4 linked regions of the Caenorhabditis elegans genome follow. The protein of the gene in region 1 interacts with the protein of each later gene in a pairwise test. Each region holds a gene or a part of one and is shown in the gene's direction. Other genes may lie near its edges.

Region 1 (7,961 bases):
CAAATTGCAAGTCACTCGATACTCTGATCCTTCGTGGTTGTGAAGGACTTACTGAGAATGTGTTCGGATCTGTCGAAGCTCACATGGGAGCTATCAAGAAACTGAATCTTCTGCAATGCTTCGTAAGCAAACATTTTAAATGAAACAATTTTCGATAATTACTGTTTTCAGCAGCTCACCGATATTACAGTTCAAAATATTGCAAATGGAGCTACCGCTTTGGAATATCTGTGCATGTCAAATTGCAATCAAATATCTGATAGATCATTGGTATCTCTTGGACAACATTCTCATAATTTGAAAGTACTGGAATTATCTGGATGCACACTTCTCGGAGATAATGGATTTATTCCACTTGCCAGAGGATGTCGTCAATTGGAACGACTTGATATGGAAGATTGTTCCCTAATTTCTGATCACACTATCAACTCACTTGCAAACAACTGTACGGCTCTTCGTGAGCTCAGTCTTTCACATTGCGAACTTATTACGGACGAGTCGATTCAGAATTTAGCCTCGAAACACCGTGAAACGTTGAATGTTCTGGAACTTGACAATTGCCCGCAGTTAACTGATTCCACGTTATCTCATCTGAGACATTGCAAAGCTCTCAAGAGAATTGATTTGTATGATTGCCAAAATGTTTCAAAAGAAGCAATCGTTCGATTTCAGGTATGTTATATTTCATATTACAAACTTAAATACGATTTTATTAAAAAATCAAAAACATCTCTGAAATCTATTTTTTTTTTAATATTACCCAGAAAAAATTTGCAATTTTCGGGCAAAAAATACAGTACCCGGTCTCGACACGACAATTTTTTGTTAAATGCAAAGAGGTGTGCGCCTTTAAAGAGTACTGTAATTTCAAACGTTCGTTTCTGCGGAATTTTCGTGGTTTTTCATAGTTTCTCGACGAAAATAAAATAATTTATTTTTAAAACTTAAATATAACAAAAAAAATTAAACGACAGTACAAAGGCGCACACTTTTTGCACATAGCAAAAAATTGTCGTGCCGAGACCGGTTACCGTATTTATTACATGTTCTCCTATTTCAGCATCATCGCCCAAACATCGAAATTCATGCCTATTTTGCACCGGTCACTCCACCAACGGATCAGGTCGTAAACCGCGGTGGTATGTTGTTTTAAAAAAGAGCCCGCGAATATATATATAATATTCGCATGGTAATTATCCATTTTTCTCTCTTCACACAAACACTTTCAACTTGCACACATCTCTTTCAATTTATCGAATACAATCAGGCACACCCGGTCTCAAAAGGTATGTAAAAAGAAACAAACTGAAGGCATGGTGTGGCTGGTTGACACACGAATCTAACAAAATTGCGTGAATCTCTAGACTTAATACTACTTATTAGATTTCAATTCATTCATCTATTGCTCAATTATTTATTTTTCAGGTATATGTAGATGCTGTGTTATCTTATGACTGCATCTATGTGCCCTGTTCTACGCGATCTACAGAAAACTGGTACAAACTGACGAAATTGACGAAGTCTGACATCAACAGGGCACCGTGCGCTCACCGGGTTGAGGCACAACTTTGGTATTCAATTAAAAATGTTCTGAAATTTTGAAGCTTAACTATTCAGTAGATTTATATTGTTTCTTGGAAATTCTTCATCTATTGCCCGCTATTTTTTGTATTCCTTCGTTTCTATCCTGATCCTACTGTAGCTACTGGTAAATTTGTTGAAATTGTTTCCAAAGGGAAATCGGTGTAAACACGCTCCATAGAATTTTATGAATACGTTTTGTTTTTCTTCGGCGTCTGCTTTTCTCATGACTGTACATTTTTTTTCAATTCGAAATTATTTTCTTTTTCTGTCAAGAATAAAATACTTGCCCTCTTTACAAATTCATCAACGCGTCAGTTCTTGTTATTTTCTACACTTTTTATTTCTTCAAATCTGGATTATTCATTGAAATAATATTCCAGATTAGAAATGGCGCACACCAGCGATGGATGGGGAGCTCCATATGATAATGTACGTCAATTGATAGAAGAAAAAGTAAAAAGTTAAACATGATTTGCAAATATTTCGTCACAGAAAAACATATTCGGACCAGAAATTTTTTGTTTTAAGTTTGAAAAAAAAGCATAAGTTTAGATTTTACCAAAAAAAATCCCAATACATTATTCCAATATTACCGACGTAGTTTCCAAATTTTAAGCAAACCTACGTCGAAGCTTACGAACAACTGGAAATTGCACTTTTGGAGCCACTTGATCGTATTCTTGAAACGGCAAATGTTGAAGAGTTTCGTCCAAAGTTCAAAAACCATCAGGATCCAAATGATAGAAAAAATAAGAAAAATAACGATGAAGAATGGAGAGATTCCATTTATAATATCGCAACGGATGAATCGGATACTGATGATCATGAGCAGAGAAAGAACTTTTTTCAACCACCACTTCAAGTTCAAAGAAACTCATTCGTTAAGAATACTCTGATGGAATTCAAAAGATCTTCTCAAATTGATATCAGCCGACTTGCTGTGATGGGATGTGGAGAAATGTCGTTGGAGAAAGGAATATGTGAATATCTTGGATCTTTTGGAACTATCAATGTTCTTTCTGTCGATATTGATGAGCCTTCGTTGTCTATTGGACAACAGTTGCTGGGGTGAGTTGAGCTACATCTCATTTTAGATTTCCCATAAATATATTACTTTTGAAGTAAAGCTGAATCTATTTTTTTAAGAAAACATTTGGAACGTAATGCAGAGATCTTAGCTGTGGAAACAGGACTTCCAGTGCTGATGCGATCATATGTCGGAGATATTCTTGAACCAGATCATCGCTTTGCCGATGTTGATGCGATCGTCTCAATGGAAGTGTGAGAATTTAAAAATTTTCCACCAATCGATAATACGTAAATTATTTCAGCGTTGAACACATCCCTCTTCCAAATGCGAAAAAATTTGTCGAAAATGTTCTGGGGACTTTGATGCCACGCATTTTCATTTTTTCTACGCCAAATCATGAATATAATGCAGTATTTGGAATGGAGCCTGGCGAGTTTCGACATGGCGATCATAAATTTGAGATGAATAGGAAAGAGTTCTCGAATTGGCTGGAAGAGCTTTCAATTCGTTTTCCGCATTATCAAATCGATCCACCACATTACATCGGAATGACACGTGGCTACGAGAATCTCAGTGGTGCTTCTCAGGCTGCAGTATGTCGCCTCCAAGTAGATCTCAACACAACTCTTCCGCAAGAAGTTACACCATACGAAATGGTTCCTAAATTATTAAATATTGTTTAATTAGATTTTTATTTTCTCAGGTTGGGCACTTGCCGTGCAGATTGGGATCCCGATTGATTGCTTATAATCTTGTGAAAGAAGCTTTTTTGGATTGGTTGGAAAAGATTGAGCTTCAAGAGCACGAACCGAGAACGGTAGGTAACAAATTATTCAGATAACTGTAGATATACTATTTTTAAACATTTCACAATATTAGCATAATTTCAGGACGGCTACTCTCCTTATTGGATTTTTAATGTCCAAAACATTCTTCATCATCTGAAAGCGCCGGTCAGCTTTGCTCTCACTATTGATGAAAAAGTAGCAATGCAAGTTTCTTCAGTAATCGGAACAGTTGAATTTTAAATCTTATTTTCAGAAAATACATTCAAGGAATGACCAGTCGCAAAGTTCATGCCGAATATTCACACGGTTTTAATGGTATTGTCATTTTACAAATGCATTCAAAGGAAGAGCTCATCAAAACGGTTCAAGATAATACACTTTAAAATTGCATATTTATTTTCTCCTCATTCATTGATGTTTAACCGCGTATTTTTCATCAGCTTTATGTTTTTTATTATTCACTTCCGAATGCGATGTTCTACATGGATAATACAATTTTAAGTTCATAAATGGGTTATTTAAAATGTGTCACTTCTTATCAGTATCATCATCTCCAAAAAACAAACGGGACGGTAAAAATCGTTCAGCTTTGTTTTCCTTTGCATACGCTTCTCTGAAAATAACCACTGGAATATTTTTTATTGCTCCAAACACTTTTCCAGAATACGACCTACTTCAGAGCTGCAAAATCAATATGGGTTGGAATAATTTTCGTATCCTCTTCAGTCAAGTTTCGTGGAATTTCAGCTCCATTTGCATGATCGATATTTGAAAGATCCAAAATAATAACATCTCCATCTCCTCTTACTTTTGGTACAAATGTGTCACTAATATCATCTTCGAACATATGCTCCAAAGTACAAGATGTTAAGAGAAATGAAGACAGAAGTATGGATGCAGTGATATACTGAATGAATGCTATTATTTACCAAAACGCGAAATTCTACGATTATTCCCTCAAAAGTACGGTATCCGGTCTCGTTACTACTTAATTTTGTTGAAATGCAAGAAAGTACGCGTCTTTGAAGAGTACTGTAATTGTAACTTCCGTTGCAGCGGAAACACATTAATTAGGTCAGAGACTCAAATATGACAATAAAAAGCACACCAATTTTGTAAAAATTGTGCGAAAAGCCATGGAACCCCCATTCAAATTCTGCAGCAGCGAGAGTTTGAGATTACAGTAATCTTATAAGGAACACACTTTTTCGCAATAAACAAAAATTAGTCGTGTCGAGACCCTCCACCGTGTTTTGAGGGCCAAAACTAAAAATTTCTCAAACTCATCGAAATTTAATAATAATAGGTCTAAAACAATCTCTTTGCAACATCTCAATTCTCAATCGAAACAAATTAAAACATACCTTCATTTCTCGGAGATATAAAATACTGGATCGAAACCAATCAAACCGAGACGAAAATTTCTCGTATTTGATATCAGAAATTGTTCGGTTTGCGACGCTTTTTAACAAGGCCAAACAAGTGAAAGTAGGCGGAGTTTATGGTCAAATCACCGGATTTTTGGAAGATTGTTTTCTCTCGGTTTCATCCGACATTTCTCTGCCAAAGATACTGTAGTGATCGAAGTTTTTGAAAACATTTATTTAAATAAATACTTTTTGGCATTTGGTTTTTCTGAACACAGCACATAATCCCGGACGCCTTCTTTTCTTTTCAAGGTCAACGCGTAAACACATAATTCAGAGGACAGGTTCTCAGTTTTTCAAATTTCAGTTTATGTGGCAAACATTTCACGAACCAAGGGTTTTTGGTAAATCACATTTCAAAGACTATAGTCTAGAGACTATTCTGAAAAGTTGAATTTTCTTTCACTTATGACAACACAAATATACAAACAAGTGTTAGAGAAAGTTGGGATTTTTGATTAATAAGAAACCAAAGAAACAAACACTTTTCGAGTTCATATTTTTTAAATTCCAAATTAATACAAATATCAAAAGGATGAACTTTTATTTACAATTTAAAATACACTTGACCTTTTCCTTTTTCACCGTGGCACAAAAAACCTTAGGGTCATTTGTAAGCGTATTTAACCATAGGATTCAAATTGTTTTATTATTCGTAAATCGATCCTCCATTAGCATCTCAAATTCTCTCCATCAATGTCGTATATGGAACAAATCCCACCTTACGAGTACTACAAGTACGTGTTTGGAACCAGATGTGCCGTTCTTGCATGCTCATCTTTTGAGGTTTGTGGTTTACTTATATTTAATTCCAAAGAAAACATTTTCAGCTTATGATGGTGCTCTTAGGTTCACTTGGAGATAGTAATGTTCTTGCAAAACTCTTCTATCTCGTGTTCCTTGGTGCTTCTGCTGCAGTTTCTGGTTTCAATCTTCAACAGAACATCGATGGTCGTGATGAAATTAAAAAGATCACCGGATCCGGAGACAATGAGACTCGTGGAAAAGCAGCTGCTCTTGTCGGGATTCCAGCTCTTGCTGCAGTTTTTGTGTTCCTGTGCGTATCAGGTCATGCATTCTTCTCGTTGTTCGTGTTGGTTCATGTTCTCGCTTCAATCGGACAACTCGGTATTGAAGCTTACGAGGTAATGATTCTAGTTATTTAGATTTCAGGATAACAGCAAGATAATCTACAGGACTGCTCATATCTTGATTATTTTTCCAGGTGAGAAATGGATTCTGTATCAAAGCTCCAGAAAACAAGAAAGCTGTAGCTGATTCGTACGATCAAAATTATCAAATTTTGAATATGGTTCAAGACAGTGTTTTTGACAAGAAGTGATCTCTTTTGTTCCCATGGACTATCTGCATTGAATAAACGTGAAAGTTGCTGATTTTTGTGTATTATCTGTTTTTATCCAAAACATTTTTTAATACTGCTACGTACAGGGCCATTAATGAGAATTTTTTATTCCGAAGATTCCCATGCAGGATTCTCATGTTGTGCTTCTATCTTCCTCAGCACATTTCTGGGTTCAAATACTAAAACCAAGACGGCAGCACCAATGATGACAATTTGAAGTAACAGTACGGGAATCAAGATAATTCCAGAAATCATCATTGTATTATCAACACTATTGAATAGAGCAATATCACATGAAGGAGCATTTGGACATTTCCATTGCCCATCTTGAACTCCACAGCAATTATACTGAAAATGTTTTCGATTTCAGTGGATAATGAGTTATCTACTGGCCTACCGTGTTTTGAATTATGGAAATATCAAAAACAGAGTTTGTCAAATAAATATCATTTGCAAAACGATAAAGAAGACTCCGAAGACTTCCACGCTTCGACCAAAGAGCAATACTTCCACCGAGCTCCATTATAAAGAATATGACTATTAGAACTAGACATGTGGCTAGTACAGGCTTCTTTTGGCTAATTGCTCCAATTAATCCAATTATGGACAGGGGACCGGCTATAATGCAAAGCCCGTAAATGCTCCAGTAGACTGAATAAATCTGAAAAGCTGGCTTTGTTTGTAAATGTTTTATCTGTGATAACTGACCCAAGATCTCATGTCGAATTTATCATCTGCCAAAGGTTGAGATGAATTGTAATTGAAAACTACATCTTTGAGATCACGTTCATACGATTTATCCTCCATCAGAGAACCCCAGATATCTAGTCCGATTGAGCAAAACTGAAAATTAAATAGAGCTCTAGTCGTCACATAGAAACAAATTAAAATCAGAAAGACTTTCAAAAAAGTGAGAAAGTACAGTAACCCACCAGCATTGCAAGACTCAAACAGAATATTGTGATCCTTGAAATAAAGGCAATCCTTGACGTCATTCCGATCTAAATTCTTCCGAGATGTTTTAATATTATCAAAAGGTATACAAAACTCGTCAGTTATATCATTTTGACCGTAAAATACGGGGTGGAGTTATAAAAAAATGATGTTACGAAATAAGATAAGAAATGTTTACTCAATGATTAACCCGTAGATAACAACAAGACTATAATTACAGTAATGAAATTGACATGTAATCAGGACACATTACAACGTGTGGAATGATTCAGAACAAATGAATGACAAGGGTACTGTAGTTCGTCTTTAAAAACGAGTGTCTTCGGTGATGTCCGCAAGTTGGGTTACTCTTGGCTCGTAACTGTACTTGTAGGTTTTCTTCCTTGAAATCAATATGGGAACTGGAAGAATGATAGCAATAGTTTGAAGGATCAGAATAACAAGAAGTATGATTCCAGATATCATCATAGTGTTATCCACACTATCAAACACTGCCACATCACAATGAGGCTGAAAAAATTGAAATATTAAGTTTATGAAAATTCAATACCTTTTGGGACATTGGACCGCAATACATAACGTTGAATAGTGAGTTCTCGATACCGCAACAGTTGTACTGAAAATTAATGCATTATTAAAAATTCCTAATTTTTCAGAGCCCACCTTATCCTGAATAATCTTCAAATCATTGACTGAGTTTGTAGTATACATAGCATCAATCAAACTGTTTGTATTATCATGCAATGAATTTCTTCTTACAAGAACAGCCACTCCACATCCAATTTCTAGTGAAACTAGAACTATGATCAGTACGA
Region 2 (7,277 bases), 1.6 Mb from region 1:
CAACAGCCAATGGTCGATGAATTTGAAAAAGAGTTCTTGAGGGTTATGTCAATGGTTCACGGAATTATTGAAAGAAATGAAATGAGAGTTGCTGAAAAGGATAAACGAGATGCAATTGCTCTCGAATGGCAACAGGTACATTTTTTATAGTTGAGGCGTGTTTTACGATTGGAAAAGCTTCAAAATAAATACATAACAGTTTAGATTTTCGTATTAAAAAAAGATACTCAAACTTTCCGATTCTTGCATTTGTCAACTATATATGATTTATAAAATATAATTTTTAGGTTGCAATGGTGCTCGATCGCTTCCTGCTTGTGGTGTTTCTCATAGGCACATCAATGTCGACATTTGTAATATTGAATCAGCGAAATCTTTTTGAATCTACATAATGACGGGTTAATCAATAAATTCATTTGTATATCTCCCAAACAATATCCAACTGAAAGTAGTTTTAGCTGGTGCTACTGAGCAATTTGAAAAATCGTTCCGAAAAAAGAAGGAAAACCTAGTGATTCAAATTTTGCAGTTGGAAATGATAATCATTTCCATTTTCAATTTTAAAATGATGATCTTTCTAGAAAATTTGAAATATTAATTTGATCGTATGCATTCATTTAGAATTGAATTTTTTAAGAAATAATTTTTACCAAAATTGAAATTGACAGTGTATATTGAAAAGGAAGTAATGAAGAATCATGTCATGAAAGAAGTTCACAAGAGTTCCTGCGAAATCAAGCAGCAGCTAACGCCTTATTTAGTTTGTGGCAGATCTCCGAAACGTCTCGGCAATTCACCAACTTCCCACCAACTAGCAATGATTTACCTAATTTATCCAACTTAAATTGATTGGCATAGCACATAGCAAAAGTCACTAAAGTAGCCCCCCCCCCCCCTCAATAGTTGAGGCATTTTGCCGAGGTCATACCAATTATGAAGTTCCGAACACCAGAAAGAGGTAATGAAACCAAAAGTCGTGATTTTATTTGATATGCTCTCTAGCATAAAAATAATACATTTTGCAGTGCCTACATAATTAAACGGCTCTACATATGTGTTGCATTTATTGAAGCATCTTATATTAGGTCGGCAAATAATTATTGACGTATGTTGCCATTTTACGATTTTTTGTAAATTTTATATATGTGAGTTATAGTAGGCAGTGAGCATATGAAAGCATATGAAGTTCATCTACTTTGGTCATCTGCGTAGTATTAAGATTTGAAAAAATCGAAAATTTAAAAAAAAATTTTTCCGTGATTTTTTGAGTTAGCCGTTAAAAACTTGAATACTCAGAGTTCGCTTTGTCTTTATTTTGTGCTTATGAAATTATCTTAATCTTTTCCTTCTAAAAGGCAACCTCATGACCTCATGTGTTTCATGTTTTTTCAATAAATTCCGATTTTGACACTCCCAAAGTCCATCTACTCTAATTCGATTAAATGGTGATGACAAAGAAACGAAAAGGGAACACTTTTTCATACGTTTCCCTAGATTCACTGAACATTTTGCTTTCCCCTACAGAACTTGAAAGTTTAGCCAACAGATTTCAAAAGATCAAATTTTCGTAAAAATGTGCTTTTTGTGCTCCTCATGATCAGATTCCGTTACTTTTTGATTTAAAACTGAAATCTAAGTGCATTCCTATCCCACGGATTTCCACAGCTCCTCCTCTTTCTTTTTTTCAATACAATTTGATCATTTTTATCTTTATACATACATATTTAATCGCAGGTGGTATGCTGTATGCTCTTCTTCTCCTCTTTGGAGGAGTTTCAACAGGTTTGATAATGTTCAGACTTTTTCAGTTATCCTTTTATTTTCAGTGAGCTCGTTACGAGTTGCTGTTGTTGGAGAAGGCGTCATTGGTTTGAGCACAGCTACAGCAATTCTTGATTTGGCAGAAAAGAGGAACATTCCCGCTCCAGTAAGTTAAATTTGAAAGTCACAGGTGTTCAAAGTTGTGTTTCAGGAAATCCACATTTTCCATCACAAACCTTTTGAAAAAATTCTCAGTCGCCACATCGCTGGTCTCTTCCGAATCGATAGTGGATCAGAGATCGATAGAAAATATGGTTACGATACATTTGAAAAGTTGGCAACTCTCTGGAGAGAATACGGTGGTCTAAGTGGTGTACAACTAGTCTCTGGGCACATATTATCAGATTCCAAGACAAAGTTGGATTCACAACGTGAATCGTATGGAAGCCTCGTGTACAACTACCGGGATCTCGCCGAGCCGGAGCTTTTCGGTCCAACGTCGCTTTTTGATCTACCAAGAAACACGACAACTCGTGGAATTCATTACACTGCTTACACGTCTGAAGGTCTTCGCTTTTGCCCATTTTTGAAAAAAGAATTAATGACAAAAGGAGTTCGATTCACTCAACGGAGAATTGGAAACTTAGAGGAACTTGGTGCAGAATTTGATGTTGTTGTTAATTCAGCTGGACTTCTTGGTGGAGTTCTAGCAGGTGATGATGCAGGGAACATGAAGCCAATTCGTGGAGTGCTCATCCGAGTTGATGCACCATGGCAGAAACATTTCCTCTACAGAGACTTTTCTACAATTACAATTCCGGTGTAAGCTTTGCTTTTCTTATTGTTTTTCAAATTTTTAAGATCTTTCAGTATCGACCATGTCTACATGGGAACTGTGAAACAAGAAGGAGCATTTGGGCCAAACAATGTGACATCTGCAGATATCCAGGATATCACTAGCCGTTATGTGGCATTGCAACCATCTTTCAAGGTGGGTTAAATATTACAAATTAGAAGCTAGAAAATAATTCCAGCGTGTTCACATGCTTTCATCATTCGTTGGATATCGTCCAGGTCGCAAGCAAGTTCGTGTCGAGAAGCAGATTCGAGAGACCAACGGATCCAAGAAGTTTACGGTAATGAAGATTTTGATGCATCTAAAATTCTGATATTCCTTCCAGGTCGTCCATAACTACGGTCATAGTGGAAACGGATTCACACTTGGATACGGTAGTGCAGTTCATGCCGCCCATATCGTTCTCGATTTGCCACTGGATGCTTATCACGGACTTGTCCCAGAACCTCTTCCCATTAATGCAACGATTTCCGAATGGGTTAAATATCTTGATGATTAGGGTAATGGCACTTGTAATTGAAAGTCATAAACAATTTATTCTAATTTTGAATGTTGTCTGTTTATCTTTAGGAAAAAAGTCCAAACACAAATGTTCAAGTTAACAATAAAAATATTTTATTTTATTTTACAGTATTAGACAATATTTAAGGCACTCAATTATTACAATAGTAGGGGAATGTGGTTTTTAAATGGAATTTTTTGAAATTAATTTCTCACTGCTTCCTTCTCATCACTTGAACTCAATGTTTTCGGGATCTCAGTTCGTTTTCGACGTCGTTCACATCTGCAAATATACCAAATTCAAAACTGGTCTACTGTGGATTACTGTACCTTGGACAATTTAAACTTTTCCTTTCGAAGCATTTCTTATGGTAGACTGCAAGACACGTGGCACATGACCGTGTATTTTCAGTAAATGGATATAGGATTTTATTTTTCTGATCTACGTTGATGTCGTCGCAAAGTTCGCAGAAGAATCCATTTCCAGCACAAGTCTCACATTCCTTAATTTTTAAAATTAAAATTTCAATAATAATCTCCAAAAACCAAACACCTCTTCAATATGCTTTCTAAAAACTGTATGGATCTGTTCCAAATCGGGTAACAACGTGCCATCGCACAGCTCACGGAGTTCTTTCGGTGAATACATGACAGAGTTATCGACAAAATGTGAGTGAGCATTGAGGTACTGTAGGATTCGGAGACGTCTTGCCGTACGGCAACTAACAAAGTAACACTTCATCAGAAGAAAGTTTCGACGCAGTTCGTTTACTCGGCGTAGTTCCTGAAAACTGTCAGTTGAAAATGTATATTTCTTCAATTTTATTTGCTGTGGGCAAATATCTGTCACTTGGCACAGCCAATGTTTTAACTGCAACTTCGCGTCATGGCGCCGTTCGGGGGTATAGCTCAGTGGTAGAGCGCTCCCTTAGCATGGGACACAGGTGATTCGCGAGTACGAGTTTTATGCTTCATCCGAGGTTCGCGCGTGCTTCGAATGGGTACTTGAAAACATGAGCAAAAATGGAGAAAAATGCTCGTCTTTGCGAACGAACGCGAGCATAAAGGAGGCATTGCGAAAACAATTTATGCTTCTTTTTTTTCACTTATATCAGCTGAAAAAGTTCAAAATATAACTTCAGTTCTTGTATAAGCCACCCCCACTACCCGAAGACATGATTAAGCCACCTCAAGACATTTTCGCAAACACGAGCATTGTGTGCGTCGAAGCATTTTGCTTACACTGCGAATCACCTGTGGGAGAGGGTTGGGGTTCAATTCCCCATACCTCCAGAATCTTTTTTACCTTATGAAATTTTATGAGCGAAAGTGTTGACTCGTTTATATCGATTAACGGTCGGTGGTCTATGATTGCAAGTAATTGCTTGACGGCTCGGCAGACAGGTCGTGGTGTTGAGTCGAGATTGTGGACTATTCTAAAGAAATTTAATAATTTAGGTGTTCTTAAAGCTGAGATCTTACCTGGCAGGAATGCTCCAAACATCATTCCAGTGACAATTTGGGCAAAAAAGCTCTCCACTGTAATCACAAAGACGTGCTTCTTGTTCAGCAACTCCATCAAAGCAAATCGGTGCAGTACATTCAGCACATTGATATTCCTGCTCCGCGAGGCTTCGTTCCTCACACAAATTTGTGTTTAATTCGAATTTTGCTCGAGTTGACAGAACTCCGGCACACACTCGTTTCACCTCTTCCGCGCATTTGTCATGAGCACGCATTCCACAAACTGTAAAAGATTACTGTAATTCAGGATTGAAATGTTTCGATTTTTTCGTGATTTTGGCAAAATATTTTTTTTACTTCGAACGAAGTTAAAGTCTATCAATACCTCTGCATCGCCTCCACCATTGCACGAGCCTCCAAATTGTGTGCATACAAACTTCACAACATGGATTATGTCCACCTCTAACTGGTTGCATTACAAATTCATGTCCTTCAGCACGGCACTCGTCTAATGGAGATGACGTTGAAACAACAGCTTCATCCTGAAAACTTTCACTCTAAATTGGAAAATATAAAAACCATACAGCGTCGAAATAAATTAATTTATGTACTATTCATGGAGTTTTTGATGCACTTGGCCCCTGACGCAAAATTTTGCGGCAAAAACACAGTGCCCGGTCTCGACACGACAAACTGTATTAAATTCGAAAATGCGTGCGCCTTTAAAGATTACTGTAGTTTCAAACTTTCGTTGCTGCAAAATTTTTTCTTACGAATTGCTAAATTTATGAGTGATTTTTTTTCGAATACAATATCGATGAAAATTGTGCAGACAAAATTTTTAACCTACAGTACTCTTTAAAGGCGCACACCTTTCTGCATGTGCAAAAAAAACAATTTCTCCAGACCGGGTACCGTATAAAATAACAAAATTTTGCCTTTAAACCATATTCACTGTCTTCATACCTGCAAAGCCTGCCTCTCCAGTCCCAATTGTACAATTTTGTCGAAATACATTTGTTGTCGAGCTGCTTTTTGTTGCCTATCAAGACAATTCACAAGATTTCCAAGAACATCACGATCCTCCGGGAACTCTGTGTTAGAGACAATGTTGACTGTAATATTGCACATTTTTTACATAAAAATAGGAAACACCAACTAGGTTTCGTCTTTGTCTCTTTCCCATCCATTTCTGTATCTTCTTCATCTATGAGCAGTTCCTTTAGTTTATCTCTACAGTACTCCAATGCAGCTTTTATGCATTCCACGTGGTTTTCTGCTTCATTGCTGCGTCTCCAATCATCCATCATCTCTTGAACTTCTTTATCAATCTCATTTTCATCAATTTTTGAAATAAGCCAAGATGATTTACGGGAACGTGTGGAAGGAGTTGAAGATTGATTATGAGCATCTTCTGATGAACACCAAGAAGACATCTAAAATTTTAAGTCTTTTTGCAATTTTCTTTTTTTTTGTGATTCTCTAGCCAAAAATAATGTGTTACTATGAAAAATCGGCAGAAACGAGTTTGAAATTACAGTACTCTTTAAAGGCACATATCTTCTCGCATAAAAGAGAAATTGTCGTGTCAAGACCGAGTACTGCATTTTTTGCTCAAAATTGCAAAATTTCGAGTCTGGTCAATCAGAAATTTTGAAAAAAAAAACAATTAATTTTGTTTTTTTCTCTATATTATCTTCGTTATACGGAATTGCAATTTTATCAAACTATCTAGAAAAAAAGTATGATTGAAATTGATAAATCTCGACAATTCCAAACAATTCGTTAAATTCATCAACAATTCATTTTATTACACGTCTCAAATAACACAAATGTATCGAAAGGGAAAAAAAGAAAAAAAAAGATCCAGGTAGACCTCGAGAAAAATTCAATTTTTGGACGATTTATTTTTTTTCCATTTTCCCATCAAATTTTCCAGGTCAAACTGATAAATGGTTGGCAGTTTTGAGTTTATGTTCTTATCAAAATTGACCTTGAAACCTGGTGAAATTGATGGGAAGGATCGACCGGCCAAAAATTGAGGAAAAAGATGAAAAATGTATTGAATTGTAAGAGAAAACATGTGTTAAAGCTAGTGAACTCCAAAGGAAAAATGGGGAGGCCTGTTCCGAAATAAAACTTGTCAAAGAATTGTTTTAAAAATTCCTGTAAACCAGAAAATTGGGAAATGGAAGAAAGGGAGAGGAAAATGGAAAATTAAGCCAAAATTAATACAATTAGAAAAGTTATGATAATGATGAGAAGAAAGAGAAACAATGTGGAGAAAATAATTATAACAAATGTTGGTGGGAATTGAAAACTTTAAAAAACAATTCTCAGCGGGAAAGATGAAATGGGAAATTGAAGAAAACCAGATATTCGGTGAAGAAAAATGACAAAAAAGAGAGAATGTGTGGTATCTGCAGATATATATCTGTACTGAAAATGGATAACAAAATGGGAATCTAAAAAAAAAATAAACTGAAAAAAGAAAACCAAATATTTGGAGAGAAAACTGATATCGATCAGGGTTCAGTTTTCACGTAACTACGACCACAATGTGTTTCGAGTTGCTGCACCAAATGGCGGACGTGTGTGGGCAGGACGAGAAGGCCTGAATGATTTATTGATTGGTTTTTATTGTGGGAATAATAGTAGCGTTCAGAAATTATATTCGAAAATGTCTGCGCTCAAT
Region 3 (7,316 bases), 2.0 Mb from region 1:
TCCCTCAATTCCGGCAATTTTTCGGCAATTGCCGATTTGCAGATTTGCATCGTTTCTTTTTAGGGTCGCCCATACTTTACAAACTCTAGACTAGAGAAAAATTGAAAGAAGCGCGATTTTTTTTTTGAAAAATTGACACACTTTCAGGAACGATGCGAGTCACCAACTTACGCCTAATCTGGCATGCCGCCTCAATGCCTCGGATCAATATCACGATTGGGTGGAATGCGATCACCGGAGTACAGAGCAAACAGACTACTTCGGTGGGTTCTACTGTCGAATTCGCAACGAAAAATCGATGGCCTAGTTTTACTTTTCGCGGCCACCTATCAAAACTCATAATCTTTTTTTAACTTCCAAGAAAAAAGTTTCAGCTAGTCACAAGAAACCGTGGTATATCCAATGAAGCAATCTACGTACTTGCCAAAGTCTCGGCGACCACTACAAAATTTGAGTTCATCTTCACCACCACAAATCCTGCATCTCATTCGAAACTTTTCAATACGATCTCATCAATCAGCAGAGCCTACGAGACCACCAAAATGTACAGAGAGCTCAAAATGCGCGGGGTGTTTATTCGTGAGGACGGAACTCTGAAGATCCTTCCACAAGAGACGATCATCGAGAAGGTGAACGGTGTCTGGAATCTGTCGACGGAGACTGGAAGTCTCGGAGTCTTTGTGATCACGAATATTCGTGTCGTTTGGTACGCAGAGATGAACATCGGATACAATGTTTCGGTCCCCTACATTACTCTATATTCAGTCAGAGTTAGAGAGTCCAAGTTTGGAATGGCGCTGGTTCTTGAGACAACTACCAGCAGCGGAGAGTACGTGTTGGGATTCAGAGTTGATCCTGCTGAACGTCTACAAAATCTTCTGAAAACTGTACAATCACTTCATAAGGCGCATTTGTTGAAGCCAATCTTTGGAGTTTCGTATGTCAAGGAGATTGCCGAGGTATTTTTAAAATGAAAAACGTCACCGACTTTCCTAGCATTATGTTGTTTTAGTGCACCTTACTACATGATTCAATGAAGAATCATCTTCAGATTTTTCAAATAAAGGCTTTTTGGAACTCGTCCTATAGGCTATATAATTTATAGTTTCTACAATACGTAGGATCCTACCCTAAACTACAGTACCCTACTTACTTGAACTGCCGTGAGCGGAACTTTCCCTGAACTTTGGATGTTGCCTCAAAAACCACAATGCTCAATTTTTTCGACCCTTTTCAAAATTTCGCTCCCACACCTTATAAAAGTGATCACTCAGCAAAAGTTGACCTATGATTCAGCAAAATTAGAAAATTTTGCAACGTTCAAATAAAACCAAACATTTACAGAAAGTAGAGCCCCGCAAGGACGACGATGAAATCGACATCATAGACAACAACGAAGATGACGTAGAAATCGACGATAAAATCCGTCCCGACGCGTTTGCTTCATACTTTGACGGGGAGCACACCGCGACTGACGAGAAGCAGCTACCGGTGCTCAACCCCGAGTTGGGATTGGCGATTGAACCGATTCGTAACGGATTCACTCTTCATGATCTTTGGAATATTCATGTTGATGTATAACGTTTTTTTTTTTCTGAAGATGAATATATTTATTTGGAGAACTAACATTTTGTTATATCAAATTCAGTTGCCGTAATTTTTACGTGTACATATTTGTGAAATTCTAGGCCACACTCAGAGTAGATCAATTCCAGAATGTCAGAATCGTGCAATTCCCTAACGGTAGTTTTTACTGATTCCCCGAAAATCGATGATCACCTATTTGCCAAGGCAATCCGCTGGGCGGACCAGAATCCGGATGATACGATTTTCTGGGCGAGACGGAAAGCGTTGGAGAGGTTTGTCACGTGGTGTCAGGATGTCCCATGTAGGTTTGATCTACGAGAATCGCGGGAGCTTAGACGCAGACTTCTCAACTGAATTCGCATGGTTAAGAGTGTGATGACGTCACATTTTTAGGAAAAAATCCCGCATTTTTTGTAGATCAATCCGTAATGGGACAGCCTAATACCACGTGGTTCGTAACATATATGATAATATGTGGTCGCGAAATGGGGAAAAACTCGGCCACTTGATTTTTTAAATTATACAGAATTGATCTCCATAGCGGGTAGTGACTCAAAACTTGACTGAAACAATTCGTTTTTCGGTGATAGGGAAACTTCAAATTTCATTTTCAGAATCCCTGAAATCGACGTGGAGTTCTCGATGAAAGCTGGCGCTCTGCGAAGAATTCGCTTTGGTTACAGTTCCAAGAAGCTTCTGCAAGGATGTATCGACATAGCGCTCAAAGCAAGCATCGGCTCTGAAGTCGCAGCGATTTTCTGCTCAATGAGCATCCCGCAGGACTGCCCGGAACTCGGTTGCCTTCTCGCCGCACTCGCCAATTTTTGTAATGTAGATGACGGCCGCGCGGTCGTCGTGATTGATTTGAGAGATGATAATGATGATGAGGTAATGATTGTAGACTACAAACTATAAACTATAACTGATAATGGTTTTAGAAGCAGGAAGGAGTTGAGGAATCTGATCCATTTGAGAATGCGAATTTTCTGGAGGAAGAAATCGTGGAAAATCCAAAGGAATTGAGTAATGAGCCTCGCGAAACTCAAACTCAAGGTAAACAAAAAGTGGCCGGCCGAAATAAAAATTTTCAATCAAATTGAAACTATGTAAACCATGGCCTAACATTTTCGAATAGTGTGTTTAGTGTTTTTCCAATCGTAAATAAACTTCAATAAGTTTTATTCGATGTGTTTTGAATAAAACTTATTGAAAACTTACTGAAAATGCTAGGCCACCTCGCGTACTACCGTGGCCTAGGGTTTTTGACTCACTCCAGGAATCTGCTGTAATTTTTTTTATTCCCAGGAAAATACGTAATTTTGCAAATTTCCTGAAAACACTTGTGACACTGAACAACGCCGAGGTCTAAGAAATTACCAAATTCTTAGATCTGAAAAATTCTAGGCCACCACTCGTTCTATGGTGGCCTAGGATTCTCAGATTCAGCCTTGACCCATTTAAAATTACCAGATTCTTTTAAAGTGAGTTTTCTATATTTTCCAAATTCAGAAAATATATTCTGGAAAGTACCTTAAAACTTTAAAAAATTTTCAGAAGAATTCCTGGAAAAGCTCAAGCGAGTCGCATCAATCTACACAAAGAATGTGCTATTGTTTGATGGAAACGAAGAAAAATTTTCAAATTGTTTTTAGACTTTTATTAAGGTTTTTATTAAATGAATTTTCAAAATTTATTATTGATTTTTTCATTTAAATTAAATCACTCTTCCTCTTCCTCACGTCGCTCCTCTTGTTTCTGAAGCCATTTTCGCCTCAAAATCTTGACTTGAGTCTTTGAAAATGTTTGCCGCCGGGAACATGGATGAAGTGTGCATTGAGCATCACATGGATTTGGAGTATACGGAGCACAGCAACAATAACATTTTCCGCTTATACTGATGCAGCTTAGCGGTTTTAAGGACCATACTTGATCTCGAATTGTTGGTGGGACAATTGCACCAAGGAAATCCACGGCTGTAGTATGTCTGGAATTTAAAAAAAATTAATTTTAGGGGTTCAGTTTTTTCTCGTCCACCATTATAAAAATTGTCTTGACACACTTTTTTGGTATTTTTTTAATTGAACAATAGCGAAGTTTTTTACTTTAAAAAGAATACAACAATTTCAGCTAAATTCTCGACTATTAAAAAATCCATTTCAACCTAGGTATCTATATTTTCGAAATTTTAATTAGAAAGAAAGGAAAATTTAAAGATTTAAAGATCAAAAAAATTTCCAATGGCTTTTTTAAGATCTAAAAAGGCTAAATACGATAGTAAACAATTTTGGAAATATTTTTAACGCAGTCAAAAAATGGCAATTTGGCAATTTTGGAACTCGATCAAAAAATGGTATTTTTTCTACAACTCTCTAGTTTTAAAATTGTTTAAAAAATTTGTAAATAAACATTGTAGGGGTTCAAATCTGCGTGACTGGTCGAACGTTCTCAAAAAGTCAAATTTTTTGAAATTTTGGCACTTTACCTACTTTGCCAACTTTGCCCTTTTGTATGACTAAAATTTTTCGGAGTGTTTTATTAAGATAAACTCGAAAAAAGTTATAAATTTTATATAATTTTTTGAAAATTGTGAAACACCTCAGTTTTTGCCACTTTTTTGGAAGTCTTCGATAAAAAAGTGTTCCTTCGATTATATGGTTCACTTATACTCCAAATATTAATTTTCTCAAAAAGTGGAAAAAACTTAGTAGATGTCACTTTTTGACTGTCAATAAAAGTTATTCAAAAAACTTTGAAGTTTTTGCGATTTTTATATTTTCCCCCACTGGCCTGGCTACTCCACATTCAAAAAACCAAAAAACCAAAAAAATGAAAAGTTCACCTCGGTGGCCATACTCTACAAAGTCCAGTGTCCTCGTCAAATGCCTGTGGAGTCATTGCGCACGCCTGTTTCTCGGTTGGAAGATCACAAATCCGGTCGACAACACCGATTGAATTGCCTCTAAATATGAATTGTTTATTGTTGTGCGTGTTGCAATTGTCACCCTTACCCAGCTACATAATCACATCTGGGTGAACACGCGACTTGAACATTGCACATTCCGCATGCCGTCGCCGATTTGTTGAAGAGCTCCGCGTAGTCCATCACTTTCTGAACGATTGGGTTACCGATTCCTGTGATGAGGGACATGTAACGGTTTTGGTAGCATTGCTGGGGAAGCGTACGCCAGAATGATCGGTCTGCAGTGCTGAAAATGGAAGAGCAGTGGAAAACTAGGCCATTAAAATGTGTTGACATTGTGGGTGTTGATTTATGTACGAGGGAAGATTTTTAAATGAAAAAAAAACAATTTCCAACATCTTGGTTTCATTGATTATTTTTTACATGGACGGTTTAATTGCTATGATTTTCAAATTTCTTGAGCTTGACCGAGTTTTCTCTGCCCGCGACCCCGTGGTAAGCGTCGACCTATGTTAAAGATTCAGGTGATATTTTAATGATAAGGTCAAATGATAAGAAAAACGTGATATCAATATCTTTAAAGAAGAAAAGTTTTCAAAAATTGATTTTGGAAATTGAAAAAAAAATTTTGTAGCAATTTTGAAAAATAGGAATTTACAAACAAAACGGGACCGTCATAGAGAAAATTCGGCCACCGATTTTTCAGCTGTTACGTCATGATTGCCGCCTTATGTAATAGATTTTGTTGATAGTTTAGAGTTTCTTAAATATACGGGAAAAAAAGCTTTGGACAAGCGAATTTTTTAAAACTGCATGGGAGCCCACGACCCTCCCCACCAAAAATGTTGGTTTTTCTCCTAAAAATCACCTGAAACAAGGTCCATATTCACTCCAATCATGACAATTTGCTGTTTTTCCCGCCTGAGATACCGACGAGAACGCCGAAGCCAAGAAAGCGTCAGCAGTCGGTGGTCCAGTTGCAAGTGAAGCCAAAACTGAGAATACTAGAAAACGAGGGACCATATTTTTGGAAAGTTTATAAGGATTATATCAGACTGAGATGATTGTGGATTTGTGTAGTTGATAAGCGAGAAGAAAAGATAAGGGAAATTCGCGCCTGAATCGGGTGTCGGAATCGAAAGTGTGGAGGCGGCGTAGCCTCCTCGGGACACTGTGGGGAGGGGGAGAAACCGGAATCCCGGGAAGTGATAGATGAAAAATAAAAAAAAGAGAAATGAAAAAGTTACCATTTATTAGGTTGCAATACAATACAACACACTTTTTACAAACAAACAAATAAAAAATTATCGATATTTTTTTTGAAATTTTTTTTTTCGAAAAAAAAGTTTTCTTTCAAAAAATTAAACATGTTCAAAAAGAATAAGCATTGCTCATATTACGATCAGCAATCTCCTCTTCGAGCATCCGAATGCGACGTTCGTGTTGCCGAAGCACAGCTTTCATTTTCATCAGATCTTCCAAAAGCTCATCCATGTTCTGAGGCACGTGCTGGAAATTTTTTATTTAAATTAATTTTTAAATTATACAAGAATTTTCACTATAACACCTTTGTAAATTTTGAAACAAAAAAGGGATTTTGGAGTTGCCTGGCTTTCTGGGGCCTTTAGAAAAGTTAGGCCACCCGTTTTTGGATAAGAAAACTTTTTGAATAATTAATTTTTCGTTAGAAAATAAAAAGGGCAAAATTGGATAAAAATTAAATTCTCAAAATCTAGGTCACGATAGTATTACTGGTGGCCTAGAAAATAAAAAATTTGAATTTTTAATATGTCGGTCCAATTTTTGGAAGAAAAACGAATATTATTATAAAACACAAAAACAATAACAACATATTAGAATGTACATTTTAGTAGTGGGAAAATCCTAGGCTACGGTGGGGCTTTTCATGGCCTAGAATTCGATTTCTAGGCCGTGGCGTTTAAAGATTTCAGTTGATGTTAATGAATTTGGAAAATTGGTTTTTCGAATTTTATTTCTATTTTTGAAAAACATATTTTATAGTTATTTTTTGAAAATTAGAAAAAAACGTTGCTTGACATTTTTTTAATAAAATTAAAGTAAAACACTAAACTGAAATTTTTCAAAGCTTGTTTTAATTAAAATTTAATTTGTAAGTTCCCAATTCTTATTGCTGGAAACTCGGCCACGGCCCACAAAAATTGTTAATTTTCTTACTAATTGGTTAAAAGTCAACGTGTTTTTGTTTTCTAGAAAAACAACATTTTAGTTGGTAAGCACAGTAAAAAACACGTGCCCCTACGTCAGACGCAGCTGATACACTGCCACGTGGCGATGCAGAAGCTCGGGAAGAAGATGGAGGTGGAGCTAGAGTGTTGTCCTCATCGGCGGTTCTTGACTGATCTCTCTTGATCCTTTCCAACTCGGCGGCGGCTCTTCTCTGACCGGCAGTTTGAGCACCGCCTCCGGGCTCATCACGGGCGGCACGGGATTTCAGTTGAACCTGGAAAAATGGAAAAGGTGAAAGTGATAGGATGGTGCTTTTTTGGAGAAGTGGGGATCATTAGCATTAGTTTTTTTTTAAATAATTTAGTTCAAAAGAAGCGATCGGCAAAATCCCTAGGCCACGAGAGCCCAGTTGGTGGCCTAGAACTTTTGAAAATTGATTTTGGCAAGGTTTTCAATCAAAATTGAGTAATGAATGTGCAGTTTTTGTTAGTTGAAAATCCTAGGCCGCAAATTGAATACACATGAGCTAGAAAAATTCACATTGAGAAATTTGGATTTCCTAGGCCACGTGCGAGCACTTGGTGGCCTAGAAGTTTCAAAA
Region 4 (8,552 bases), on another chromosome or scaffold:
TGAACAGAGGGAGCTGGCACACAATATTTGATCAGAAGTCTCCGAATTTTGCTTTCGATTTCTGGGAAATCGTAACGAGAGACTGGATCATGTCCACCATCCGTTGGGTCGGGAGCTCCATGGAGATTGTTTATATTTGAATGTGGATCCTTGATTTGATCAATTAATTTTTGGAACCCGGGAATACATTTGCGTGGAATCTCATTGATATGCCATTGAACAAGTCGTCGAAGATCAAAATCACTCATTGAATTGATTGCGTCGGCTATGGTTTCCCTGAAAAATGAAATTAGAATCTTTTGAGATTTGTACGTGCTTACTTGAATTTTATATTGCTCCTTTCGTAAATTCGATAGATGGACAATGCCACCACATGTTTGCACCAACTAGAACGATTCGAGCATTCACAGGTGCATTCGACAATCCGACATCTGTCTACTTTCACTGTTACATGGAAAGATGAATTATCATCATATTGAATTGGACGGGTATCTGGATGCGTTGAGTTACTGATGTTACCACTGAGTAGAAAACCAGTTTGTGAGACATCTCGAACATTTCCCCATTCATATATGGTTTTTCCAAGTTCATATTGCTCAGATGACCCGTTGGCAAGAGTACTGAAAAATAAGAATTTAAATATTTTGTCAAAAAGGAAGCAAATAACTAACCTATACATTCGAATTTCATCAGTAGATTGTGGGAAACAATGAACTATAAATGAAAGAAAAATCTTCTCAGGAATAGTGGAGATTGGTGGAGGCATTGCAAGTTTCTCTGCTCTCGAAGTACATATATGAGAGTACATTTCTTCAAGTTGCTGAAACGACCATTTTTCCGCACAAACTCTTGCAGAAATTTCCGATAATGTGAGCAGAGTTCCAATTGAATCATCTCCTCTTGACATCATTGGATGTTGACTCAATGGATTGTTTGGATCCCCGGGTACCACTGTTCTTGTTGATGCTGAGGAAAACCGTCCTGATGCACTGTAATGCTGGTAAACAACACAAGAAAGTCCAGGTTGGATTGCTTCACAATTTGATTGACAATCTGTCCATCCTCTCCAATTCTGACTATTTCCATCAAGTGATTCGTCTAGTGAAACTTGTGAGTCCTCCTCAAATCTCTCAGAATCCTAAAAGATATTTATTTTAATTATCATAATATTCAATATTAATCAAACCTCAAATGAGACATCATCGCGGCCGTTCCATACATTGTTGCCCACTGCATTTGGCAGCATACCACCAACGTTTGCAGGTGTGAAGTGGACTCACGAGTAGAACACGAAAGTCTGGAAAAAAATAAATGTTTATTTGAGGGATTCATAGAAATCTAAGAGATTTATTAGGAAACAACAAACACCCAAGAAGCTGTTTATTTTTAAAGATACACCTTCAGTTTTCAACTTACAAGGAAAGTATTTCAACGTATTAATGGACTTTGAAATGAAGCATATTTCATTTGAAAGAACATTTTCCAAAAAAAAGTCACTACGAAAAGTTTAGCTGCTTGCGGACACTTTGAATCAAAAAAAAGTAGATCTAAAGTTCCCTTCAGGCCATTTTCTCACAAAAATCAATGATTCATAAAATGACTCAGAAGAGTTTTTTTCAGGTCTTATCTTTTTTTTAATAAGCGTTATAAACATGGTAACATTTTAAGACGTTTTCAAAATAAAAATTTTGAAAAAAAAAATTTCAAACTTTCTGGTCAAAGTAATGTTAAAATTTTCAATTCGAAAATTTATTCGAAATTTTTTTGGAATTTTTTTTGAATCACTGGCACATAAATTAAGATGATTGAATTGACTATTTGCATAGTTGGGTATAAAATTACAATCAGTCAGTTCTGTCTCATAAATTGAAAAGTTTGAGGACAAAGAAAGAATCCTATTGAAAGAGGTGATATTGCCCAGTAAATACATAATTTGGTCAAAATATTTGTACATAACCATGTAAATGACCTATTAAAACATCTCCATTCCAGTAATTCAAAAAAAAATCCAAAAAAATTTAGAAACATAATACAGGAAATAGAAGGAGTTCAAAAAGATTTTCTGAACTTTTCAGAAAGTAGGCTAAAATACGGAATTGGATCATTAGAAGAAAAGACAAAAAGTTTGAAAGGAAACTAATTGGTGGAGAAATTAATATTAATCAAAAACATTTTTTCAAATTCACAACTTCTGATCGCACTAGTAACCGGCTCACTTATAGATGGAAAACCTCTAGATCTAAACTTCGATCCCAATTGTTCACTCATCATGTGTTGAGTTTAATTTTAAGCCCAAATGAAATCAATTACCCTAGTTAGTTACAATTCTCATGCAAAGATTTTATTAACAAATTTCACTTCTTTATGTAGTTTATCAGTAGATACACATGTGTTTCGCGGTTTTTTAAATATTTATGGAATGTAGTTGAGGCATCAGCAATATGATGAAGCAAATATTTTGCACTAAAAGTCGCAATTAGCAATATATTGCTAGAATGTTGGTGGTCCCGCAGCGAGATTAGCGATTTGCAAATTGCATCTAAAATACTGGTGGCCATAAGTATTTTATAACGGCGAATCACCTGTGTCATAGCCTTTCTAAATTATTTGCACTTTCATCATAATTTTTTTTCTTGCGATTCTCTCCATTTTCCGTTCAATGAACGATTTAATACGCATGTTCAATAATAATAAAATTTATCCGAGAGGAGTACAGAAGAAAATTAACATCGCTGCGAGACCAATCGCTACAGTACTCAATGTCGATTTACGGAGGAAACATGTTTTGATTTCTCATTGTTTCTTTTGTCATTTTTTGTCATTTTAGTTTTAAAACTTAATTATCCTCTAATGATTTGCGCGGTTTTTTATTAAATTTTTGATTATTCTCGTAGCTTTTGAGTTAAACTAATTAAAAGTCTTCAGCTATGCTAAATTTTGCTTCCTTTTCTTGAATGAAAACCTAAAATGAACAAAATTTTTTGTCATTAAATAACAACGCTTCGGTTAACGCTTGAAATTGATATTCGGAAAATAAAAAGCCTGATTTTTGTTCGATTTCTGAAATATATTTCATGCTTTACCCGTTTTTAATTGCGAACAATTCTAAATTTGAAATATAATTTTCAATCAACGAAAAACAATTTTCAAGATAAAAAATTATTATATAAATTTAAGCTAAGTATTAATAAATTAATAAGTAATAGTATTCAAAAATCATAGAATCTTGCAAGAAAAAATGTTTTAAAGATTTAATAGTTCGAGTGATTGAAAAACGAATAGTACTTTAAAAAATAATGCTTTAAGGCAGAAAAGTGATATAAAAATTAAGCTCAAAAGGGCAAAAGATAAGGTTAATGTCCAGTTTTGGTTTTAAAATGGTTCGGACACAATGTACATAGTAGACATTTGGGTGTCCTCTTCCTTCTCTTTTCCCCATTGCGTCCACTGACCCTCCTTGCTGTATGTCTGCGCATCGTCTTTTTCTACACTTTTTCCTTTTCCCTGGCCCGTTCCTATCGGTGCCTTTCACACACGCGAGCGGCAGTGGACGAGACGGGAGGGCGAGGTGTTGAACAAGAGTACAGCAAGTGCGCGCCATCGAAAAAGCGGAAAAAAAAATTTCAAATGGCGCTACTTTGAAAATTGAGAATTCTGTATTTACTGCCAGTTTTACTTGCATTTAAATTTCCATGTTTTCTATTCTAAAACGAAAATCTATCTAAGAAAACCCTTAATAAAAACCTATAAATCATAAATTGTGATTCTTAAATTCGAAAATATGTTCGTTCAACTTGACGCCTAGAAATATGTGGACTTAATCCTGTTATAAATCAGTAGTTGACGACAAAAATAGTAGAGCAGCAAAAGCAGTTCTAACTTGTGAAAAACATGAAAGTTCTTGTTTTCGTCAAGCGAACGGGGGCTCGAGGAAGGACTTGGCACGTGTCTCTAGGCCATGTTTTTCTCAATTTTTGTTGCTCTAGAGAAAGCTTTTGCTATTGATTATGGGACAATCTTGGGGATATGAAGGTAACATTTTAAAAATAAGTTTAGGTAAATGTGTAGCATAATTTTTGAAAAAAAAAGCTCCACTGTTAAAAATGCCGATTTTAGGGATTGCGAAACGTTCACTATGTACACATAAATGGCTATATAATTTGAATTTGCATTCAATAAATCTTTTCCTTCCAATTGTATGTTTTAACTTAAAAATAATTAATTAAAATTATCTCAGGAGTCAAAAATGTCAGCTCAAGCAAGTCGTCAAAAGAAATCGGATCAAGAGCAGCGTGCAGCTGATCAAGCTTTGCTCAATGCAGCAATCGAGGATAATGCGATGGAGCAAGATGAAAACTTCACAGTTATCGATAAACTTGAGTCTTCAGGAATCAGTTCTGGCGATATTTCAAAACTAAAAGAAGCTGGATACTATACATACGAATCGCTGGCATTTACTACAAGACGCGAACTCCGAAATGTCAAAGGAATTAGTGATCAGAAAGCTGAAAAGATAATGGTGAGCATATCAAAAAATCAGCTTATTCGAGAATTAAAGAAAAAAACTAAAAATTCTGTGGCTTTATTTTTCAAAATCCAATTAATTGAATTGAAAGTATCAGAAAAGTTGATACATTTTTCGAGGTTAGCTCCGAAAAAGAATGAAACGATCAGCTGCAAGGTCAGTTTTGACGGCAAATCGACCAGCTGTGAACATGTAGACATCGGCCTCATATTTCAATGATTTAATTTCAGAAAGAAGCCATGAAATTCGTGCAGATGGGATTCACGACGGGAGCCGAGGTTCATGTGAAGCGAAGCCAGCTGGTGCAGATCAGAACTGGATCTGCTTCACTTGACAGACTGTTGGGTGGCGGTATCGAAACAGGCAGTATCACTGAGGTGAGTTTATCACGGATAAACTGACAACAGTACTCAATAAAACATTTATTTCAGGTTTACGGAGAATATAGAACAGGAAAAACTCAGCTTTGCCACAGTCTGGCAGTCTTGTGTCAATTGCCGATTGATATGGGAGGTGGTGAGGGAAAATGTATGTATATTGATACCAATGCCACTTTTCGACCCGAACGAATTATTGCTATCGCTCAGAGGTTTGTGATTGAGAATTATTCTTAAAAATCCTGAATTTGTCATAATTTGATCTCCCGACTTGAAAATTTAAAAAAAAATTAAAATTTATTTCGAGAAATCAGTAACATATTTTCTCAGTCTGAAAATAGCTGTTATTTTTGCTTGAACAATTGAAAAGGCCAAAAATGGTCTGCAAGTTGGAAATTGCCGTAAATGAACTTTCAGAGATGTTCCGGGTCTTTTTTTGGCGAATTTCAACTTGCAGGCAATTTTTTAGCCTTTTCCTTATTGTTTCAACAAATATAAGTTTTTTTTTTCAGATAAAGTAAATATTTCTCTATATTCTATCACTAAGTTTGAAATAAAAACGTTTGGAGAACAAGTCGCAATGGCTCATTTTGTACAATTACTGGTTTACGCCACATGGCTTGAATTTTGGCATTTGAGAATTTACCTTATTATGGATCTTGTAGCATTTTTTTGAATATCGAAGTAATTTCTTGCAGATACAATATGGACAGTGCTCATGTACTCGAGAATATCGCTGTTGCACGTGCATACAACTCAGAACATTTGATGGCTTTGATTATTCGAGCAGGTAAATCTAAATTTCAAAAAATAAAAAAATAAACTTTTTCGTGCCATAGGAGCAATGATGTCCGAGAGTCGTTATGCTGTTGTGATTGTTGACTGTGCAACTGCTCATTTCCGTAACGAATACACTGGAAGAGGAGATCTAGCGGAACGTCAGATGAAGCTCTCTGCTTTTCTGAAATGCCTTGCCAAGCTTGCCGATGAATATGGTGTCGCTGTAATTATTACCAATCAAGTTGTAGCACAAGTCGACGGAGGAGCCTCGATGTTCCAGGCTGATGCTAAAAAGCCCATTGGAGGTCACATCATCGCTCACATGTCTACTACCAGGTAAACATAGTTGGAGGTTTTCTGAAGATTTTGAACAAATAGAGAACATATTTAATTTTTTTATTAAACATTACATGTGGTCTTTTTGAGGATTTTTTAAAGAAGAAAAATTAAGTTATTCATATTTTCAGATTGTACCTTCGAAAAGGAAAAGGAGAGAATCGCGTCGCAAAAATGGTTCAATCACCCAATTTACCAGAAGCCGAAGCGACCTACTCAATCACGAATCATGGTATTGAGGACGCACGCGAGGACTAGCCGTTCGTTTTTCTTTTTCTTATCAAACTTCATCATTCATATCCCGATAAATATATCACATTTCTGTTTCTCTCCACACTTTCACGGATTCATCATGTTTATTTGGGTCGTTTTTAAATCTAGCGTTCTATGTTCTCTATGAAAAGTTTTCGCCTGCCCCTCATGTTTCACTATTCCGTTACATTCCTTTTTTGTATCTGTATTATATATAGGTTTGTGCATCTCTCTCTCTCTCTTTTGTTTTACCCGTCGTTTTGTATGAATCGTATAGTTGAACTGATTATGTCAGTATTGATAAGCTAATGTTCTTTTTAATTTATAAAGGTTTTCGAAACCTTTAATACTGTATTTTAAAAATGCGTGTTCATCATGTTAACCTAGCAATAATTCCAGATCCAACTAACTGAAATGGACATTGAAGCGGCCAAGAATGAGGTAAGATGATTATCTCTAATTTGCCTATTCGCAAAATGTGGAGTGGAATTTTTGCTTTGTAAAATTCCGGCAACAACAAAAAACCTTGAAAATTGCCTGAAAATACCCAACTGTCCGTACTTATGCTCTCAAAAGCGATTCTTATTATGCAATACCGACGGTCACAGCACATTTGCTGAACAGCTGTGTGACCCTTGCCTGTTGTCATCGTCTCATTCAAATTACTCAACATGATCTTGCCCTCTTTTGATCTTTACTATTCTTATTTAGGTTTTGAAATTTATTGTTAATATTTGTACGTCAGAGATGACTAATTGGCTCCTGATAAGAAAGTTCACTTATTTATGATATACTAGTTTATTTTTAACTGTATATCGTGTTGAGCCAAAAATTTATTTTCTGATTCTACATTTTCCGCTTTAGTATGGTAGATCGAGACATTTTATATGTTTTCCTTTTGCTCTTTCACTGCTCGAAATATATTTTGTGCAATGCCAGACTTCTAAAATCATCTATTCATTTTTTATCATGCAAAATTAAGAATACAGAACGAACAACAATTTCACTTATTTTTGTTCTATATCTCCCCGCCCTTCGTCCCTCCATTTTCTCCGTTCGTTCCGTTCGGACACCAACTTCTATATTCATCTGCAATGGCAAAAGGCGGTCGTAGACGGCGACCGGTTCCGCAACGCTCATCTCAAAACGCGGAAAAGCTGACTGCAATCCTTTTTCTGTAGCAGGCCATTTTGATGCTTGCTTCTCCCGGGGCCCCCAGTTCTTCCACACTCTGCATACATTTTCGTCTCAATCGGCGCTAGCCAATGATCTAGTAAAAACAAGATGGTTAACTTGTTCTATGCGTTGTTTATGTGATGCCGCATTTAGCTATATATTTTTAGAATCATGAGTGTTTCTTAAACAATAGTTTTTCTAAACTTGTGTTTTCAGATGACTTGCTGCTCGTCCAATTCATCTCTATCAGATTTCAACACTTTGCCCAGATGCCCGAATCGTGTTGGCTCTATCACTGTTATTCTGGGGCCAATGTTCAGTGGCAAAACGTGTGTTTATTTTTAAATTTAGAGTGATCATAACAATATTATTTTCAGCACCGAACTTCTTCGTCTTCATGATCGTCAGATAATTGCAAAAAGAACATGTGTTCTTGTCAAGTATGCAGGAGACACTCGTTACGATGCCGATCTCGTGGCTACTCATAGCAAGTTGGTAGATCAAGCCTAAAACTGTAAAGCATTGAATATCATTTCAGGATGACTGGCCAGGGACGGACTGTCAAGGCTCATCGTCTCTCTGAAGTTCAATCTCAGATCTTCAACGATGAGGTTCAAGTCGTTTCGATTGACGAGGGACAGTTCTTTGAAGATCTCGCCGAAACTTGCGAAGAACTTGCTCAAAGAGGGAAAGTTGTTTGTGTCGCTGCACTCAATGGAACATTCGAGAGAAAGCCGTTCCCACAAATTTCTTTGCTACTTCCGTACGCGAATGAAATCAAGCAAGTTACCGCTGTATGTGTCGAATGCGGATCGCAAGCAAACTTCTCATTCCGCAGCACATTGGACAAAAAGGTTGAGGTGATCGGAGGTTCGGACACTTATACAGCTCTCTGCAGAGAATGTTATGTTCAAAAGAGCGAAGAAAAAGATGCTGAAGAACAGATGAAAACTGGTTGTGATAAGGTATAAAAACTCAATTCGATTTAATAGTTATTAGTTTGATTTTTCAGAACGAAAACGATATTACTGGGATTTTCTTGGCGAAAAAAGAGCAAAGATCTGATGGATCCGTGTCTCCTCCACGAAAGAAAATCGGATTGAGCA

The links.
Region 2: the proteins of henn-1 (region 1) and ddo-3 interact in a two-hybrid assay, tested with the Caenorhabditis elegans proteins (one large-scale study listed by BioGRID).
Region 3: the proteins of henn-1 (region 1) and rip-1 interact in a two-hybrid assay, tested with the Caenorhabditis elegans proteins (one large-scale study listed by BioGRID).
Region 4: the proteins of henn-1 (region 1) and rad-51 interact in a two-hybrid assay, tested with the Caenorhabditis elegans proteins (one large-scale study listed by BioGRID).

The regions. Positions count from the first base shown.
Region 1 is NC_003281.10:8,230,687-8,238,647, forward strand, and holds henn-1 (Small RNA 2'-O-methyltransferase), read left to right. Parts: upstream 1-1,964; 5' UTR 1,965-1,971; coding exon 1,972-2,013; intron 2,014-2,200; coding exon 2,201-2,652; intron 2,653-2,730; coding exon 2,731-2,865; intron 2,866-2,915; coding exon 2,916-3,270; intron 3,271-3,317; coding exon 3,318-3,431; intron 3,432-3,504; coding exon 3,505-3,605; exon of another isoform or gene 3,606-3,655; coding exon 3,656-3,785; 3' UTR 3,786-3,925; downstream 3,926-7,961. Other genes in the region: F-box/LRR-repeat protein fbxl-1, read left to right, coding at 1-122, 172-672, 1,061-1,139, 1,426-1,454; C02F5.14 (MBL fold metallo-hydrolase), read right to left, coding at 3,931-4,015, 4,077-4,309, 4,767-4,772; C02F5.5 (uncharacterized protein), read left to right, coding at 5,526-5,615, 5,660-5,974, 6,055-6,171; tsp-2 (TetraSPanin family), read right to left, coding at 6,298-6,540, 6,590-6,853, 6,901-7,035, 7,125-7,187; tsp-1 (Tetraspanin-1), read right to left, coding at 7,453-7,656, 7,697-7,762, 7,810-7,961. UniProt on the Caenorhabditis elegans protein: Methyltransferase that adds a 2'-O-methyl group at the 3'-end of PIWI-interacting RNAs (piRNAs) and small interfering RNAs (siRNAs) which are classes of regulatory RNAs that are involved in gene silencing in endogenous RNA interference (RNAi) pathways.
Region 2 is NC_003281.10:6,586,158-6,593,434, forward strand, and holds ddo-3 (D-aspartate oxidase 3), read left to right. Parts: upstream 1-1,706; 5' UTR 1,707-1,739; coding exon 1,740-1,782; intron 1,783-1,826; coding exon 1,827-1,927; intron 1,928-1,972; coding exon 1,973-2,583; intron 2,584-2,631; coding exon 2,632-2,752; intron 2,753-2,795; coding exon 2,796-2,897; intron 2,898-2,942; coding exon 2,943-3,116; 3' UTR 3,117-3,241; downstream 3,242-7,277. Other genes in the region: acr-21 (AcetylCholine Receptor), read left to right, coding at 1-135, 288-392; F20H11.1 (Differentially expressed in FDCP 8 homolog), read right to left, coding at 3,323-3,401, 3,449-3,621, 3,672-3,902, 4,425-4,554, 4,601-4,865, 4,968-5,124, 5,549-5,697, 5,742-6,018; let-765 (Protein strawberry notch homolog), read right to left, coding at 7,108-7,196. UniProt on the Caenorhabditis elegans protein: Selectively catalyzes the oxidative deamination of acidic amino acids. Plays a role in the egg-laying events and maturation processes of the reproductive organs.
Region 3 is NC_003281.10:10,253,137-10,260,452, reverse strand, and holds rip-1 (RFS-1 Interacting Partner), read left to right. Parts: upstream 1-1,711; 5' UTR 1,712-1,716; coding exon 1,717-1,859; intron 1,860-2,201; coding exon 2,202-2,475; intron 2,476-2,525; coding exon 2,526-2,640; intron 2,641-3,141; coding exon 3,142-3,239; 3' UTR 3,240-3,280; downstream 3,281-7,316. Other genes in the region: BBSome complex member bbs-5, read left to right, coding at 148-263, 375-959, 1,345-1,581; R01H10.4 (uncharacterized protein), read right to left, coding at 3,307-3,571, 4,427-4,546, 4,596-4,793, 5,376-5,530; Coronin-like protein cor-1, read right to left, coding at 5,879-6,016, 6,783-6,989.
Region 4 is NC_003282.8:10,279,700-10,288,251, reverse strand, and holds rad-51 (DNA repair protein RAD51 homolog), read left to right. Parts: upstream 1-4,007; coding exon 4,008-4,032; intron 4,033-4,116; coding exon 4,117-4,196; intron 4,197-4,237; coding exon 4,238-4,519; intron 4,520-4,755; coding exon 4,756-4,902; intron 4,903-4,956; coding exon 4,957-5,114; intron 5,115-5,600; coding exon 5,601-5,692; intron 5,693-5,741; coding exon 5,742-6,018; intron 6,019-6,149; coding exon 6,150-6,276; 3' UTR 6,277-6,618; downstream 6,619-8,552. Other genes in the region: ebax-1 (SWIM-type domain-containing protein), read right to left, coding at 1-276, 321-620, 672-1,138, 1,187-1,246; thk-1 (Thymidine kinase), read left to right, coding at 6,685-6,711, 7,663-7,775, 7,824-7,937, 7,985-8,411, 8,459-8,552.